Linked DNA regions of Macaca mulatta. The protein of the gene in region 1 purifies or fractionates together with the protein of each later gene. This does not show direct contact. Links are inferred from orthologs where the notes say so. Each region holds a gene or a part of one and is shown in the gene's direction. Other genes may lie near its edges.

What was found.
Region 2: the proteins of USP9X (region 1) and CTNNB1 purify together in Homo sapiens (affinity purification with western blotting; 6 studies listed by BioGRID, with this or other methods). This does not show direct contact. The link is inferred for Macaca mulatta from reciprocal best matches to the Homo sapiens genes USP9X and CTNNB1.
Region 3: the proteins of USP9X (region 1) and AMOTL2 purify together in Homo sapiens (affinity purification with western blotting; 3 studies listed by BioGRID). This does not show direct contact. The link is inferred for Macaca mulatta from reciprocal best matches to the Homo sapiens genes USP9X and AMOTL2.

The regions. Positions count from the first base shown.
Region 1 is NC_133426.1:40,965,790-40,970,153, forward strand, and holds the start of USP9X (ubiquitin carboxyl-terminal hydrolase 9X), read left to right. Parts: upstream 1-1,556; 5' UTR 1,557-1,837; intron 1,838-2,197; exon of another isoform or gene 2,198-2,864; intron 2,865-4,364.
Region 2 is NC_133407.1:104,565,598-104,569,161, forward strand, and holds part of CTNNB1 (catenin beta-1), read left to right. Parts: intron 1-348; 5' UTR 349-396; coding exon 397-409; intron 410-855; coding exon 856-1,083; intron 1,084-1,279; coding exon 1,280-1,533; intron 1,534-1,658; coding exon 1,659-1,897; intron 1,898-1,985; coding exon 1,986-2,187; intron 2,188-3,534; coding exon 3,535-3,564. UniProt on the Homo sapiens protein: Key downstream component of the canonical Wnt signaling pathway.
Region 3 is NC_133407.1:37,408,481-37,412,044, reverse strand, and holds part of AMOTL2 (angiomotin-like protein 2), read left to right. Parts: intron 1-170; exon of another isoform or gene 171-225; coding exon 226-532; intron 533-1,607; coding exon 1,608-1,752; intron 1,753-2,142; coding exon 2,143-2,235; intron 2,236-3,564. UniProt on the Homo sapiens protein: Regulates the translocation of phosphorylated SRC to peripheral cell-matrix adhesion sites. Required for proper architecture of actin filaments.

The DNA.
Region 1 (4,364 bases):
TTATTGATTTTGATGCTATTGTAATGGAATTTTAACTTAATTTTCAGATTGTTTATTGCTAGTGTGTAAAACTATAACTGATGTTTAAATATTGATCTTATATCCTGCAGTTTCCAGAACTTGCTTATTGGCTTTATTAGGTTTTTTTTATAGTGGATTTCCCAAGATTTTCTATATATAAAATCATGTTATGTGAAAGTAGCGATAGTTTAATTGTTCCTTTCTTATCTGGATGTCTTTCATTTCTTTTTCAGGCTAGAACTGCAAGTACAATATTGAACAGAATTGGTGAGAGGGGACAATCCTTGTTAAAGGTGCACTTTTGATAGGGTTAAAAGACCAGTGTTCAACACTTTCCAATCCTGACCTTGGGCAAATCATTTACCCTTTCTGTTTCCTTATCTAAAATCGAAGATAACAGCCTACAGTGTACACGGGTGGTCGTGTCTACTTTTTAGAAGCCCATGAGCTAGTGGGTAAGCAAATGATTCATGGAAATAATTACAAAAACAAGGTAACATATGCTAAGAGTTATTAGGGCTATGAATGATGTATCTTGGATACCCTATTAGGTAATTTTGTGGTGAAAAATTTGTAAACAATCTAGTGCTAAATAGAGAAATGGTTTAAAAATTTAAGATACCAATAACTTGCTTTCACTGTCACCTAAATTAGTTTGGTTCCATTTTTAACAGTCTTTTATTACAAACTGATATAATCATAGCATAACTAAATTCAACCCTGTTCTCTATAAAATAGATCTCGTTTTGTAAGGTTTTACTATGATTTTGCATGCCATTTGATGTCCACAGGTAGTTTTAAGTCAAAAGGAAATCTGTAAATTAGGAACTGTTAATTTCCTCTTCATTTGGGCATCCTAGGCAGACTGTATAGAATTGTTCCAAGCACCCCATTAATTTGAGATTAGCCTAAGTTTTTCCTACGCCTGCACTTTGGAATATAAACATGTAGAAAATAGTCCATGACACAGCGGATGGGTTCATAAGTTTCTTCCGGGTTCTAACACCGAATCGTGCTGATGATCTGGCAATGGAGGCTAATCTTGCCATATCAAGTACGGCCTATTCGCTAAGCCGTCTGGGGTACTTTATAATTTTTTTCTTTCCTGGTCTGTTTGAAGGGCTCCTATAGCCAACAAGGTTGTCAGTCCCGTCAGTTACGCTGTGAGGACGCCTAAACGCTTTCAAGTACTGATGCTGCGCGATCGTGTGAAAGTGTTTCCCAGAGCACCTCCCTCGCGGGGTGGGGAAAAGGACCTCACTCCCCACGCCCCCTCCTTCCGCTGCAGGAGATAGCCACACCTTCCCCCTATCGGCGCCAAGCAGGTGGCCAGGCCCTCGGGACCTCGCGCCCCCGCAGCCCAGTGGCCCGGCCAGCTCGTGCGTCACGTGACGCGGGTCAGCTGCGCCGCCGGGACCTCCAGGCACCGCGGCGGCGACAGCCCAGCGCGTGGTCTCGGGATCTCATCTTTCCGCGCCCCTCCCCCCACGATCCCGGAAAAGGGGGAGGCCGGTGACGTCATCATCCGGGTTCTTGTCGGTGGGGCCACGGTTCACAATGGAACAAAAACAAGCGGCCAGAGTCAAACTATGAGCGACGCGGCTGCGGCTCACGCGATTAACCCCGTCGTGACCGCACACCCCGCCAGTCCCTGCCGCCCAGCCCCTCCGGCGTGGTGTGCCAGATCTTTTCGGGCCTCCCTTCCCCAACTTCGGTCCTAGAGCCACCTCTGCCCTCGTCCCGCTCCTGAGCCGAGGGGCATGGAACAGGATTTCTGGCGGTAGCACGACCCTGAAGGGGCCAGCCGGAAGAAACGGTACTGCGCGAACAATCTTTACCGCATTGTCTTCCCCTCCCCCACCCTAGCTCTCCGGGTTCCCAGCGGCTCGCGCCCAAGCCCGGCCCCCTCGGCGGCTCGCGCTGCTCTCCCAGCCTTGACGGTCCGGGGTGGAGGCGGGAGAAGAGGGGGCAGCTGAGCGGGAGGGGGCTGGGCAGGAGCAGGGGGAGGCCCGAAAGGAGGGGCCTGAGAGGGGCGGGGTCTGACGGGGGCGGAGAACTTCGGGTCTTGGGCGGCTCTGGGGCTAGTGGGAGTCTGCGCCGCCGCCGCCACCGCTGCTGCCGCCGCCGTCGCCGCTACCGCCGCCGCCACTGGCCGAGCGGTTTTTTTTTTTTTTTGGTTTGCCGGATCCGCCATATTGACGAGGACGGGCATCCGCGGCTGCGGACGCTAGTCTCCGCCGCCGCCGGAGCCGCAACCTCTCCGCACCCGGCCCCGTCAGGGCCTCTGCCGCGCCGAGCCCCTCCCCGCCTTGCACAGCTCCCGGGCCTCGCGGGAGCCCTCCGCCGCCGCCTCTCTCTCGCGGGAGGCGGCCGCCTTAGCGCCCGGTGCTTGGGTCGGCGCCGGGAGCTAGGAGAGAGCTGTTGCAAAGCAACCAGGCCCGGAACGGGGACAGAGGCGGCGACTAGGGGAAGGTGAAGCCGTCGCTGCAGGAGGAGGAGCAGGAGGAGGTGACGCAGGAGAAACGCACCGCCCGGAGCCCGTCTGAGCTCAGCGAGAGCCCCAGCCTGAGGGGAGAAGGGGGAAGAGGGCCGTAGCCGGCCAAGGAGGAGGAGGAGGCGGGCGCGGCGAGAAGCGAGTTCCGGCGCCGGGTGTGCAGCCTTTTGGTTGAGACGCCCTCAGCCCCGAGCCCGGCCGCCGCAGCCTTTCAATACACTTTGTTGCCGGTCACCCACGGGCCTGGGATGCACCCAGGGTAGGTCTTGTCCCGAGACCGAGCCCCAGCGTCGCCTGCTGCCTCCCGCCTCCACGTGCCCTGGTTCTGAGAAGACGTCTGTGTCGTGCGGTGAGTGGCCAGCTGCACCGGGGCGACGCGCCTTCCCGGGGCCAACAGCTGGATGTGGGTGAGGGGAGGAGGGCGAGGGGGGTGTGCGTGTGTGTGAGCTTCTTCCCTCGGCGGCTGCCGGCCGGGCCGGGGCTTCCCCGTTCCCCCTCCTCCGGCCCGGGCTGGGCGGGCGCGCGGGGCCGTGTTGTGTGTGGAGCCGGTGTCCCGAGAGCGTGTCTTGTGTGTTTTGGACTGTAAGGGAAAATGGCTGACGGCTCCGTCCCTCCCCCTCCTCCCCCTTCCCGTCCTGTCTGGGGCCGAGTAGGAGGATGGAGTCTCCGGGCGTGGCGGGCAGCCCCCCCGCCGTCCGCACCCGGGGCCCGGGTCGGTTTGGGGGCTGGCCGCCCCCGGCCCGGCGGCCGCTTTCCTGCCCGGTCTGGTTCCACTTGACACCAAACGCCATTACTGAGGTGGAGTGATTTGGAGTCGGGGAGCTAGGCCTCGGCTACGCCTGGCTATCAGGCCTGACGACTTGTCCGCCTCCCCCCACCCTCCCGCGATAACCCGCAGTTTCTCCCCGGCCCTGGGCTCCTGGAGTCGGAGCTGGGTTATCGGCCTCCTACACTTCCTTAACCCCGCTTAATTTGCAGAGGGCCAAAGCCGTGAAAGGGGTTTTTGAGTGCAGAAATCGCTTCCAAGCTAGCTTGGACCTATTATCTTTCTATTTTTAACTGTTTCTGCAAATATTAGCATGTGCGAGTTTATTAGTGATCAGATCTTCAGATTCTTGTGACGTGAGGCTTAGGGTTGGATAAATGGCTGATTTTTCATTCATTGTGAAATAAGTTACAGAGTTATATAGAGCAGGTGTATAGATGGCTTCTTCAATTATTTGTGTGGATTTCTGTAGCGACTAGAACTTACACGAGAATTTGCAAAATTTCTAGTAGAACCTGCTTAAATTAAGCATGTTATTTTTTGGAAGTTCCATAGTTATAACGTTAATTGAATTTACACGGTGTAGTTTACAGGTGTATATAATTGTTTCAGATTGTCTTTTAGTTTAAGCAAGTTGTAGGTATAGATTATTCATACTTTATTTTTCGGCGAGAGAAGTGTGTGTGCCGCTCTTTTACCTGGAAACCCATGAGTCCCTGAATCTACCTAACGTATGTATACTTTCACTTTTGAGGGGAATAATTTGGGGTGCATTGATTAGGAAACTTTCCAGCAGGTACTTAACCCTCTCGGAGCTAATTACCCTTAGGTAACTCCTTCACCATGACTAGCTTGGCTGGTTAGTACACTTGAACTTAAAAATAGAGACTACAAACTCTCCTTTAGATCTCGCTGGTCTTCTAATTCGCTGGGCTGCCATTTTGGTTTCAGCAAATGCCTTCAAATTCTTGAAGAATTATGTATTAAATATAAAAAATGTCAACATTCTTTTTCTCAATTTTTAAACTAATGTGCTGTGTCATACATCTAACTTTAACCCTTTAAACTTTATCGTTCCAGCGT
Region 2 (3,564 bases), on another chromosome or scaffold:
GAGAGCAGCTGATTTTTGAATAGTGTTTTCCCCTCCCTGGCTTTTATTATTACAACTCTTTGCTTTCTCATCACCATCCTGATTATCTGTAATTTATATTTCTACTATTAATAAAAAGATGTATTTGGTAAGGAGGAGTTTTCACTGAAGTTCAGCAGTGATGGAGCTGTGGTTGAGGTGTCTGGAGGAGACCATGAGGTCTTGTGTTTCACCAAATAACCTGGTAAAAGAGGATATGGGGTTTTTTTTTGTGGGTGTAATAGTGACATTTAACAGACATCCCAGTGACTTAGGAGTATTAATCAAGCTAAATTTAAATCCTAATGACTTTTGATTAACTTTTTTTAGGGTATTTGAAGTATACCATACAACTGTTTTGAAAATCCAGCGTGGACAATGGCTACTCAAGGTTTGTGTCATAAATCTTTAGTTACTGAATTGGGGCTCTGCTTCGTTGCCATTAAGCCAGTCTGGCTGAGATTCCCCTGCTTTCCTCTCTCCCTGCTTACTTGTCAGGCTACCTTTTGCTCCATTTTCTGCTCACTCCTCCTAATGGCTTGGTGAAATAGCAAACAAGCCACCAGCAGGAATCTAGTCTGGATGACTGCTTCTGGAGCCTGGATGCAGTACCATTCTTCCACTGATTCAGTGAGTAACTGTTAGGTGGTCCCCTAAGGGATTAGGTATTTCATCACTGAGCTAACCCTGGCTATCATTCTGCTTTTCTTGGCTGTCTTTCAGATTTGACTTTATTTCTAAAAATATTTCAATGGGTCATATCACAGATTCTTTTTTTTTTTTTAATTGAAGTAACATTTCCAATCTACTAATGCTAATACTATTTCATATTTATAGCTGATTTGATGGAGTTGGACATGGCCATGGAACCAGACAGAAAAGCGGCTGTTAGTCACTGGCAGCAACAGTCTTACCTGGACTCTGGAATCCATTCTGGTGCCACTACCACAGCTCCTTCTCTGAGTGGTAAAGGCAATCCTGAGGAAGAGGATGTGGATACCTCCCAAGTCCTGTATGAGTGGGAACAGGGATTTTCTCAGTCCTTCACTCAAGAACAAGTAGCTGGTAAGAGTATTTTTCATTGCCTTACTGAAAGTCAGAATGCAGTTTTGAGAACTAAAAAGTTAGTATATAATAGTTGAAATAAAATGTTGTGGTGAAGAAAAGGGAGTAATAGCAATGTCACTTTTACCATTTAGGATAGCAAATACTTAGGTAAATGCTGAACTGTGGATAGTGAGTGTTGATTAACCTTTTCCAGATATTGATGGACAGTATGCAATGACTCGAGCTCAGAGGGTACGAGCTGCTATGTTCCCTGAGACATTAGATGAGGGCATGCAGATCCCATCTACACAGTTTGATGCTGCTCATCCCACTAATGTCCAGCGTTTGGCTGAACCATCACAGATGCTGAAACATGCAGTTGTAAACTTGATTAACTATCAAGATGATGCAGAACTTGCCACACGTGCAATCCCTGAACTGACAAAACTGCTAAATGATGAGGACCAGGTGAGCAATGACATGGCTAGCTTTTTAGTCTGCTTTGAAGTAAATGCTCAAGGGGAGTAGGTTCAGAATGTCTACCCACTACCAGGACTTGAAAACTAATGATGTTTCTGATTCTTGTATTATAGGTGGTGGTTAATAAGGCTGCAGTTATGGTCCATCAGCTTTCTAAAAAGGAAGCTTCCAGACACGCTATCATGCGTTCTCCTCAGATGGTGTCTGCTATTGTACGTACCATGCAGAATACAAATGATGTAGAAACAGCTCGTTGTACCGCTGGGACCTTGCATAACCTTTCCCATCATCGGGAGGGCTTGTTGGCCATCTTTAAGTCTGGAGGCATTCCTGCCCTGGTGAAAATGCTTGGGTAAGAAAACATTGTCAGAATGCTTGAAGCTAAAAAGTAGAAGAGTATAGTCACAATATTTCTGATGAGGCTTTTTTCTTCTTCCCAGTTCACCAGTGGATTCTGTGTTGTTTTATGCCATTACAACTCTCCACAACCTTTTATTACATCAAGAAGGAGCTAAAATGGCAGTGCGTTTAGCTGGCGGGCTACAGAAAATGGTTGCCTTGCTCAACAAAACAAACGTTAAATTCTTGGCTATTACGACAGACTGCCTTCAAATTTTAGCATATGGCAACCAAGAAAGCAAGGTAAGAGAATTCTTCTTTATGTGGTTTTCATGGAGCATCGGACACTTCCAGTGTCATGTCATTCCATGCAGTGTTCCTAACCTTTTTGGCACCAGGGATCAGTTTCGTGGAAAACAGTTTTTCCATGAATGGGTTGTGGGAATGGTTTCTGGATGACACTGTTCCACCTCAGATAGTCAGGCATTAGATTCTCATAGGGAGCGTGCAGCCTAGATCCCTCGCATGTGCAGTCCACACTAGGGTTTCCGCTCCTATGAGGTTCTCATGCTGCAGTTGATCTGACAGGAGGTAGAGCTCAAGCCAGGTAATGCTCGCTCACCTGCCACTTACCTCCTGCTGTGCAGCCCAGTTCATTTCTGTTCTTTTAAATTTTTGAGTTTCCATATGTAAAGCACTATGCAAAGTAATAGGGATATCATAGGCAAGCTTCTCTTCACACTTTTGTAATTAGGTGGGATGTAGATGTTGGGAATAATAACCTAATATTTAATTCATGTAGTGGGAAGAAGTGGGGGCTATGAGAGCACATTACACAAGTGAAACAGACTCTTTATGAGGGTTCAAGGAGGTACCTCTTGGAGGAAGTGATAGTTGAGTTCAGTGTTCAAGGATGAGAAGGGATTCACTAGGTGAAGGTTAGGTGAGAAACAGCATCTTTGAAACGAAGGAAGGAGATGGAAAGTTTTGGGAATTTAAGAAATACTAACAGTAAAGAGGAAGAAAGGTTTGAGGTGAGGCTATTGAGATAGACTCAGCAGATCTCATAGGGCTTTGTACAGCATGTTTAAAAGCACAATGGGAAATTTCAGCAGAAGCATGAAATGATGAAATTTGTTTTTAGAAAATTGGGGCAGTGTTGAAAGGGAAGATACACAGGGGATGAAAGGACAAGAGTGAATGATCATTTTATGGTATCTCTTTTTAAGGTGGATATAATTAGGAAAATTAAAGGGCCAAGTGATAAGGAGTTTTAAGTGCCAGTTCTGGTTCAAATTTTCAGTGAATCAGTTTTGATATAACTTTCATCTTAGGGCATTAATCTTGCCTGCCAACATGGTTTCTAAATTTTTTTCTTCTGCTATGATCAGTATGGGAAGAAGGAAATTGGGCCAAAACTGATACATTCTTGGGAGGACTGGGATGTCTGAATTTGAGTGGAATGCTTTAAAAGGACAAGTTGGATAGGGCCCCAGTATGGGGGTCAGAGTGATGGGGTCCAGGGATACATTTAGGTCCAATGACAAGCTGGCTGAAATTCTTGTATAATAAAATATGTTGGTAATATGGCTCTTCTCAGACATGTGATCAAGATTCCATGACTAACAAGATATGTATATATCTTTCTAGCTGATCATACTGGCTAGTGGTGGACCCCAA
Region 3 (3,564 bases), on another chromosome or scaffold:
GACTCTTGAGAGCCTTAGGCAGGAACATTTGGAAAAGGCCTTCCCCACTGGTCCCTGCCTACCACTTGAGGGTTGAATAATTATCTGCAGCAATTTTAATAAATATTAGTTATGAATAATAACCATCTTCCCAATATGCCTAGGAATGGGGCGACTCTGGGCTGCTCCGGGTGGGAACCATAAGGGTCTGTGCTGTCTCTGAGCACCGTCTCTTCTGTTTCCCAGGATCCTGCAGGCCCAGGTGCCGCCTGTGTTCCTCCAACAGCAGCAACAGTACCAGTACCTGCAGCAACCCCAGGAGCACCCCCCTCCCCCACATCCAGCTGCTCTTGGCCATGGCCCCCTGAGCTCCCTCAACCCACCTGCTGTGGAGGGGCCAGTGAGTGCCCAGGCCTCCTCAGCCACCTCGGGCAGTGCCCACCTGGCCCAGATGGAGGCCATGCTGAGGGAGAATGCCAGGCTGCAGAGGGACAATGAGCGGCTGCAGAGGGAGCTGGAGAGCTCTGCAGAGAAGGCCGGCCGTATTGAGAAGGTAGGCCCTGCTGGGGTTTCAGAGGGGCAGACCAGAAAGAGACCCCGAGGGGCTACCTGGGGAGTGGGTAGTCCAAGGAGAGGCAGAGGAGCCTGAAAACTGTTTGGCTTGATTTCCCCCATCCCTCTGTTCTCCACCTCCCTCACCCCTCATGCACCCTCCTGAGCTGACTCCAGACAGCTGGGGAACAGCCGAGAGGCCGGCAGAGCAGGCCTGGAGCATGAGCAGTTGCTGGCCAGTGGTGATTAGAAAGAGCCCATTCACCAGCTCCTTGCACACTCGCACCCTTGCCCTGCACACACCCCCTCTCATGGACACCTCCCACAGAGAGCCCTTTGTGTCCCCCACACAACAGCAAGTCTGTTCCAGGCCAGCCCTGGCGAAAAAGAAAACTTCTCCTCTTGGAAAGACTTGTTGGAATCACAGGCCAGCTAAGAGCACGTGCGGAACCTGCCAGCAGCCAAGTGGGAGGAGCAGCCGGGGCCCAGCTGGCCCTCTGGGTGGACGGTGATGCCTGGGGGACCAGGCAGAGGTGGCTCAGGCTTAGACCTGGTGCCTGCTTCTTTAGTGAAGGATTACCAGTTTTCTGCTGAGGCTCAGTTTTAGCAGATGGCCTCAGGCCTCCCTTGACTGTCCTGTGGTGTCCAAGTTAGGTCCAACCACCCCGACATGGCTGTAGTCTTTTGGTGCCCACTTCTGGCCAACCGTACTCAGTTTCTTGGTGGAAGCCAGCCAAAAGTAGAATGTTTCCTTCTGGACACTGGGCACAGGGAAGCTATGTTTAGTCACCCTGCAGGCAGCTACTTCCAAAGTACCTGGCCCTAGGGTCACTCAGCATCTGGTCCTTGGGGCAGCCGATGGACCGTTGCTTGCTGGTCCCAGCAGTCCAGTCTACTTCTGGAGGCTACAAGCTTCTGATCATCCCGCCATAGTCATCCCACCAAAACCTGGAGGTTTTGCTCCTGCTTGGTGTCCTCTCATCTGTCACCTTTTCTGATGGAGAGTAGTGGGTCAGCCTGGAATCACTCCCTAGGAGCTCTCACCTTCCTTCAGCTCTGCTGTCTGCCTCTTGCAGCTGGAAAGCGAAATCCAGCGGCTCTCTGAGGCCCATGAGAGCCTGACCAGAGCCTCCTCCAAGCGTGAGGCCCTGGAGAAGACCATGAGGAACAAGATGGACAGTGAAATGAGGAGGCTGCAAGACTTCAACCGGGATCTTAGAGGTGAGAGCCAGTCACACAGGTGGAGGTTGGAGAGCCTCTGCAGAGGGCTTACTTCCTCTGTTCTAGAGAAAAATTGGGAATCTATTACCTGCTAAAAGTGCAGATGAACTCAGAGAGCCAGGCTGAGACCCTCGGGAGCTGCCCTGATAGAGAGATGCTTGTCTCTATGTACTGGGTCTCGGATCCCTTCAGGGAGCTCCCATCGTGGGGCCCGGATGATGGCTTCTGACAGAGGAGGCTCCCTCCCATCGGGCCCTGAGCTGAGCCGGGGTTTCCTCATGGCCCATCCCCAATGTGGAGGATGCAGCCCCGTCTTGATAGGATGTCAGGAAAAATCCCAAGCTGGCAGCTTCACCTGACACTAAAACATCTTTCCTTCCCTTGAAACAGAGAGATTGGAATCTGCAAACCGCCGCCTGGCAAGCAAGACACAGGAGGCCCAGGCCGGCAGTCAGGACATGGTGGCCAAGCTGCTTGCTCAGAGTGAGTAGGGGCCTCACTAAGAATCCTGGCCTGTGTGCAGGCAATGGGACTGCTGCACACCCTCTGGACCAGGAAGATTGGCCTTCCCCCTTGCAAAGCAGTACTTTAGGAGCAGGTTTACTGCCTACTGTGTGCCCAACACTAGACTGGATCTGGGGATGGTGGGGAGAAGTGGCTTCCAAAGAAGAATAGGATCTAGTTGTGTATCTATTAAGAAGATCAGTTGACACTAGAGGGAAAGCCAGGGAGCAGTGATTTGCTGAGCTTCCGTGCTGACCATCAGTGCAGTGCATTGGGCAGTGTGGGAGGCAAGGTAACGCGGAACACAGGTGAGGTGAAGAAGGAAAGGTCGTCTGAGAGCTTCCCAGGGAGTTCCAGGCAGCAGAAAGGTCAGGAGTGTGCAACGGGAATGTGAGAGGCAGGGGGCATGATGGAACTGGGCCATAGCAAGCTAAGTGGAGGCACTTGAGACAGCCAAAAATGGGATCCTAGACCTTAACCAACAGATGCATTCTAAAGGGGGTGGTCTAAGCATCTTTGAAGAATGGGCAAGTTCATTGACTAGTCCATTCATGAATTAGCAGATGTGTTTTGAGCATCTGGCAGATGTTCAGGTGAGAATGGGAGCAGGCCCCGGAAGGTACCATGGCAGGGAGGTCAGGAGAGAAGTGGTGAGCTTAAGAAAGGAGCAGGTTCCCACAGATTTAAAAGAACAAGGGGGGTGGTCCTAGAAACTGGTGATTAGGAGCCCCAGTGGCCTGAGAGAGAGGCTCCGTGGGGATGGCGGGGGTGGAGAGCCAGCCAGAGGTGAAGGAGTTATTGGGCCGTTCAAGAGGTACATGGGGTGGGTGGCAAAGGGAGCCTTGAGCTCAGCAGCAGGAGGCTCTAGCAATCAGAAGAGACTAACAACAGTTATTTATTGAGCTCCTACTAGGAGCTTTACTGCCGTTCAGGGTGTTTGCAGAGAAGTGGAATGGGAGTGGTTGGTAGCTGGGTAAACGTGGCTTTGAGGCTTCACAGGAACTCTACTATGAATGGCACCAACAGTAGTGTGGGGTGCAGAAATGGAGGAGCAGCTTGAGGACTTAGCTCTGGCTGGCAGCACCCCTATCTTCCTTCAAAGAGGGTTCAAAGACTAGGGCAGGGAATGGGGGAACACAGCACTGAAGGAATTGACAGGGTGGGGCAGGAGGTAGGCTGGTCTCTACTGGCTGGGTGGGGTGAGGTGGCAGCGGCTTAAGGTCTCTGGGAAGGAGTCAAAGGGAATGAGGGAGAAAGGGGATGGGGCAGCCCTGGGGTTTCCCTGAGGAGTCTGGGGAGGAGAAGCTG